Linked DNA regions of Drosophila melanogaster. The protein of the gene in region 1 interacts with the protein of each later gene in a pairwise test. Each region holds a gene or a part of one and is shown in the gene's direction. Other genes may lie near its edges.

Region 1 (3,206 bases):
GTAGATAATGCTGTTTCAATGTTTGTATTCGACGCAAATTAAAACATTTAATTATACCCCTTACATTCAGAGTTAGAAGAGCTAAAAGGTTGAGATTAAGTATATAGATTCTAGAGACATAGACGCAGAGAAACTTCAATTTAAGTGATGTCATGTCAAGAAATGGTTTTTTTATGTATATAATATGGTGTTTTTATATTTTTTGTTTTTCACGTGCAATTGTTAAACGCGTTGCCTTGCACATTCGCGAGTGCTGACTGAAAGTATGCAATGTTTATTTGCGAAATGCCCTATGCACAGTTTGACACTCACTGAGTCTGTGCGGTTTGAGAGCCGCTGACAAGCGGAATGCGGAGAATTTGAAATTTGTGAGCTTTTTGCTACGTGGAAAGTTGTGCATGCTTCTTATTCCACAAAAAACGGAGAAAAAGGAAAAGAGTGGCCACAGCACCGACACCGAAGACTCCGATCAACAGCGCCACCCCCATTTACACTTACATTTAAATTGTACAGATTCCACTTGGGCATTCCAGCAAATCCAGGAAATAAGTTGCGGAATAAGTTAATTGAACAAATAAAACAATAATAATAATAATAATAACTTGGTTTACTGCTTCTTCGCGGGTATTTTCCGATAACGATATCGCAGGTGTATCGGTGTAGCTTTTATTTATAAGGATATTCACACTTTTATATATTAATAGCTTTTGACAATTTCTTGATCTTTTATTTTTAATCATGTATTTAAATAATAATACTATGTCGGGAAATGAAATAATGAGGCCAAACTTACAATAACATTTTTTTAATAAATACAAAACCATGTTTAAGATGTTTTTAAGCATATATAAAATTTATAGTGTTCCAATAAAATGATATTTAAAATATAAATATAATATAATATAAAATATATGAAAAGAATAATCGCGGCGGATAGCACTACAAATTAACTAAATACGTTTCCTAATGCTATATTTAAAACACTTAAATTTAAATCCGTAAGACTCATATAATCTATTTAAATAAAACAAAATACTAAAACCAATATCTTATCTTTTCTAATTGCAATCACTTAAGCTAATGAAAGTGTCGCGAATATTTACTGGTGTCATATATAGCTAATGAATAATCTATGAACTTCTGAATGGGGAAAAACACTTTGACTCTTTTTGATACTCACATATTCACATCCGAAAGACATTGTAAATATTTAAATCTAATCAAATGTTGCCTGTTTTTAAATGTTTAGATAAGATTCTAGGGAATCGTAAATTAAAACAAATCATTTTCGGTATATTAAATTTATATTAAACATAATTAAGAAAAGTAATTATTTGTGCCACGATGAACTTTTTCTATAAAAAACTTTTTTTTTAGTTTTCTATAAAAACTATTATGAATAAAGTGAATTCTGAGAACAATAGTTTGTGTACCTATCATACCACTTTTCAAGCCTTTTATTGTTCAGTAAATAAAAGGTCTAATGATAAGAACCGTAACTCATAATTGAATCATCGCATCTTGAAAGTTACATATAACAATTCCATATTGGTCATAGTTTTGCTGTGATTAAAGTTTAATATGAATTTAAGTCATATGGATTTGTTATCTCATTTGCTTCCATTAAACATTTCACACGGCTCCATTCATGAGCACTTTTAGCCAAGTTAGACTTTTAATAATATATTACCATTATTCTTTATCGCCTGTTTGTCGGAACGGGCATTTTATATGACCCACCATCTAGCCAGATACGATTAAGGTATAAATACTCCGTGGGCATTCCCAAGTTTTCAAGCTTTTCCAGCAACATGAAAGCATTCATAGCTATCCTGGCTTTGGCTGTGGCCTCGGCCTCTGGCGCCACCATGCCCCGTTTGGCCACCGAGAAACTGACCCCGGTCCACACCAAGGACATGCAGGGTCGCATCACCAACGGCTATCCGGCTGAGGAGGGCAAGGCTCCCTACACCGTCGGTCTGGGCTTCAGCGGCGGCTGGTGGTGCGGTGGTTCGATCATCGCACACGATTGGGTGCTCACCGCCGAGCACTGCATCGGAGATGCTGACTCCGTAACTGTCTACTTCGGAGCCACCTGGCGCACCAACGCCCAGTTCACCCACTGGGTTGGCAACGGTAACTTTATCAAGCACTCATCCGCCGATATTGCCCTCATCCGCATTCCCCACGTGGACTTCTGGCACATGGTGAACAAGGTGGAGCTGCCCAGCTACAACGATCGCTACAACGACTACAACGAATGGTGGGCTGTTGCCTGCGGCTGGGGAGGCACCTATGACGGCAGCCCACTGCCCGACTACCTGCAGTGTGTCGATCTCCAGATCATCCACAACTCCGAGTGCTCCGGATACTATGGAAGCGTGGGAGACAACATCCTCTGTGTCAGGACTCCCGACGGCAAGTCCACCTGCGGTGGTGACTCCGGCGGCCCCCTGGTCACCCATGACGGTACCAAGCTTGTGGGGGTCACCAACTTTGGTTCCGTCGCCGGCTGCCAGTCGGGTGCTCCCGCTGGATTCCAGCGTGTCACCTACCACCTGGACTGGATTCGCGACCATACCGGCATTGCTTACTACTAATCGACTATATCTGATTAAAAAAAAACTTCTTGAAGCGTAAATTTAAATTTTTGTACTTTACTCGGAGTATTACTGTGGACATGACGGCTTTTATTTTTAGTTAGTATTCAATATTAAATTTAAGAATAATATTTACGGATTGTTTGAAAATTACATTTTTAAATGGTATATAAAGTGCTCATGGACTATAATGTGATTCTACAGAGTCTTTAAACATATTATATATATATGTTAAGGTTGTGTCATTTAAATTATATAGATGTGGTCTTTTATAGGTAAAGAAAGATCTTAGATCTTATAATGGGATTGCTCTTAAGTCTTAGTTGCGGTTTTTTGTTTTACAGGATGTGTAGTAACAGGATTAAAACGATTGGGGATTCTTAAAGCTTGCTGAAATACTTAAAATTATTTCAATAATATTATTATTTCAATGATATTAATGACCAAATTCAACCCATAGTTATAAAACAATTTAAATTTGCACTTTAAATATTTTTATTCAATCGAAAATCGTTGCTTAGTAGTAAGCAATGCCGGTGTGGTCACGGATCCAGTCCAAGTGGTAGGTCACACGCTGGAAGCCAGCGGGGTGGCCAGCCTGGCAAC
Region 2 (3,938 bases), 3.0 Mb from region 1:
AGATACACCGGGTGATGCAGATGCTGATGGGCGTGAAATCGGAGCTGGCGGATCAGCAGCAGGAGCACCAGCGCGAAAAGGAGGGCATATACGAGAATATCAGGAGCCTATCCAGGGAATTGGCCTTATGTGAGCTGGTATTAAATTCCTATGTGCCCAAGGAGTACCAATCGATGATTAATCAGTATACGCACTGGAACGAGGACATCGGCGAGTGGCAGCTGAAGTGTGTGGCCTACACGGGTAACAATATGAGGAAACACATCTCGGCGCACAAGACGAGTGGCAAGGAGCCAGATTTCCTCGATCTCTCACATGTCTATCTCAGCTACAACACCGATGGCGTGTCCAATCCAATGCGCTCCAAATCCGCCAGGCCGCGAACCTCGGGTGTGCCCAGACCGACGACTGCCAGGCGATATTGAAGCTAGTGTTGGAAGGACAATCGACTGCTAGTCCAGCTGCATGTCCTCGGCGGTCTGCGCGTCCAATTTTGGTTTCTGCTCCTGCTAATCTTGATTTTCTACAGCCTCAGATTCATTTGCTCAGCGAATTTCCTTTTTGTTAGACCTTAGTTTTTGTTGATTTATTGCTTAGGACATACTTTTTAGGTTGAACAACGGTGCAATATATTTACTACTGTGTTTGTAATTTTACTTTCTAACTTATATTTATTTTATAATACTTACAACTAAGTAGTAACAAGATTTTACCCGATTAGGCACAAATATATAACTATTGTGTGCTCTTGGCTTTTAAATAAAAATATGATACTCACACGTAATTATTTTATATTCTTACTTCAAGGAATTATGCGTAATTTCTTTTTATTTTTTAGCAGCTTGAAAGCATGCTTTAAATTTTCCGGGCTTGCTGAAGAAAACTGAAATTTGGCCGACCTACTCATAACAGGTTCCATAGTGTAGCGGTTATCACGTCTGCTTTACACGCAGAAGGTCTCCGGTTCGATCCCGGATGGAACCACGTTGACAAAAGTATATATTTTTTTAAATTCATTATATGTTTATTAATTTTTATTACGACAGAAAACATAAATTCAAGTTTTTTATTCCCACAAAATACTAAATAATACTTAAGTAAAAACAACTGATTTTTGTGTATACTATGAACACGAAAGAATTATATATAACATATTATATACTTTTGTTTGCTAAAACTCCACTTAGTAAGCGTTTAAAAAAATAAAAATAAAAAAAAGTTACTTCCTCCTGGTTCCATCCGGGATCGAACCGGAGACCTTCTGCGTGTAAAGCAGACGTGATAACCGCTACACTATGGAACCAGATGCCAATCGCTTGACACAACGCAAACAAAGCACAGCGCCAAAAAAGGTTCTAAGGCAAAATGAAAAAAGTCAATCGTAAGGAATTTAAAAATCTGGGTTGCTGATAATTTAAAATTAAAATAAACCCAAGAATGTGAAAGCTTTAAGTCGAACGATAAATAAGAATGTCATAATTTAATAGTCCTTTCTTCTTTTTTTGATGTTCGTTTCGCTTAAATGCCGTCCGTTCAGGTGTTATTTCGATACCGGATTACTCATCCCACCTGCAGGGGATGCGATTGTTTGGGCAGGTAAGCCTGCGATAAGGAAAGCAAACTGTACTTTTATCCATTATTTATTTACCTTTGTGCGAATTTCTACGCCTGTCGCAGCTTAGATTTTAGGCTACCCAAATGAATCTGGCTGAAAGCATTTCCGCTTTATCAGTTTGCTCTTATCGCCGCACGTTTTGTTTGCCCATTTAGCTGCAGCTAGTTGCGAATTGGGGGGCGGAGCTCCACTCAGCGGACAGCGGTATCGCAGTAAGACGTCACGAATAACTGTTCAATTTACATATATTCACATTAAACCAATCTGCCAAGTGAAAAAGAGAATTGCGTTGCCAGGTGAAAGAAAAAGATCGGAGTGAAAAATCACCGAGAGCAAGGTAAAGTTACTCACTCCACTGGCAGCCAATTGAGTGGAAACAAATAACCGAAACACCAAGCTACAAGGAAATAGTAATCATGATCAATCATGAAGCTATCGGTTTTATTAGGACTTTTTTAGAAACTTGAATATCAGATAGCAGGTTCATTTTAATTTAGTATATATTTCTGTATAAAATAAACAAGATTCACATAGCATTTCATATAGACTATATATTAAATTCAACACCATATTCAAAATAAATGACTGTTTTGTTGTCGAGTGTAGTTGAGTGGTTGCTCTCGCACTTTCGGCGGACAGACCGAACCGAGCGATCGTAAAACTCTTCGGCCCCAGGCCCACAATATCAGTCTGTCCGCTGCGCATAGTCGAAACGGAAGGAAAATCGCTTTAATTCTCTGTGATCTGTGTTTGCGTGTTGAACTCGAGTTTTCAGTTCGTTGTTATCTGTTCAATTTCATTTGGATGTGCAATTGCCGACGCTAAAAATATATACGTAACGCGTGCAAGAAATTGAGAGTATTGCCCGACGCTCAACTAAATTACAAAAAAGAAATTTTATTTCATATATAAACGCCACGTTCTCGCGTTCTAACAAACTCCCCAATAAAAAACACACTCAAGCAGCACATTACATATACTCGACCACGCTGTATAATTAGTTACTAGCCGTTGATATTTCCAATACGCCGCATAGCAACAATAACCATATCAAACATTTCGATAATCTGATGTGACACAAGTTTTTGCATCGAAATAGCCGTGTGTGTGTGTGTGTGTGTGTTTGGTTCCCATTCGCCGCCAATCAAACCAATCGCATTGAGAGTGTAATCCGGGAAAAGTTATACACACCTAAACCTGCGCCTTTTCAATGTAGCCCTTCATGGATAATTAACACGTGAGCGTTGTGTGACTATATAGCAAAATCGTGTTAAAATCGTGTTCGCAGTGGCTGAATTTAGCAGCGATCCAACGAATAGTGTCATCTCGAACCCAGACACCCCCCACACCCCCTGCGAATTTCTCTTATTTGTCGGCGCGGAATTTGCCTGAGTCACGAGCCATTTCAATTTTCCGGTAAGTTGTCTTCGCTCTCAATCTCGATCTCATTCCGAAACCGAATCGGTAGAAGAGTGCTGAACTCGAGTGTTAAGTGTTAACTGTTAGTGAAAACACTTCCATTGTATCATTTATTGACCTCGAAATGCCATCGCAAAAATCAGGAACGCGTCGCAATATCTGTTTACCGACAAAAATAGGGTCAACATATTCCGATTGTCTGGGGACGTTTTTTCCCATCATTGTCTGCGATAGATAGACATATGTATAAGGATTATCTGGGGATCGGGGTTCGAAAGACGACGAGTCGCAATAGGGGTGACTGTCCTTTGAGTGAAATGGGTTTTCCATTTAAAAGAAGTGGATCTTGTCATATTTTCAAATGTAAACCAATTTATTCTGAGTTCAAAGAACTCATAGTTTGATCTTTACGCTTCTGGATTTCTTTGACATTCTTTAAAATAGATCATAGATTTTAAAAATAGATAGAGTGAACCATCAAAGCGTGTATAAATATATTTCGATGTATATTTGTTAAAAATATATTTTCTTCTTTTCCAAACTAAAATGTGCTATTTGTGTGAGCTGCTTTCGGCACTCAACAGTTTTTCACTAAAAGTTTAATTTCTACATATGCGAATTTTTTTGTGATATTTTTATTTTCCGCATACTCTTATCAAAGTTCAGAGGGGAAATACCAATGGTGCCGCTTATTTTTAGCTCTTGTCGCCTCTTCGGAAGCACTGATTAAGTTCCGTGAATGACTCTGCCGCTATCGGTTATCGGCTAGACTTTACCCCGAAGTTGAGGCAGCCGTTAAATAACAACTTCCACATATATTTCAGATATCTGTATCTGAATCGTAACAGATCACATGAGTGTCGGGCAGGCGGTTGACATGGGTGAGGACCCAGTAAACAGAGCT

The links.
Region 2: the proteins of Jon66Cii (region 1) and lama interact in a two-hybrid assay, tested with the Drosophila melanogaster proteins (one large-scale study listed by BioGRID).

Annotation. Positions count from the first base shown.
Region 1 is NT_037436.4:8,392,252-8,395,457, reverse strand, and holds Jon66Cii (jonah 66Cii), read left to right. Parts: upstream 1-1,808; 5' UTR 1,809-1,811; coding exon 1,812-2,600; 3' UTR 2,601-2,638; downstream 2,639-3,206. Other genes in the region: Jon66Ci (jonah 66Ci), read right to left, coding at 3,118-3,206.
Region 2 is NT_037436.4:5,353,708-5,357,645, reverse strand, and holds the start of lama (lamina ancestor), read left to right. Parts: upstream 1-1,722; 5' UTR 1,723-1,952; intron 1,953-2,299; exon of another isoform or gene 2,300-3,031; intron 3,032-3,858; exon of another isoform or gene 3,859-3,938. Other genes in the region: Klp64D (Kinesin-like protein at 64D), read left to right, coding at 1-425. UniProt on the Drosophila melanogaster protein: Putative phospholipase. Involved in the regulation of cellular plasticity in imaginal disks.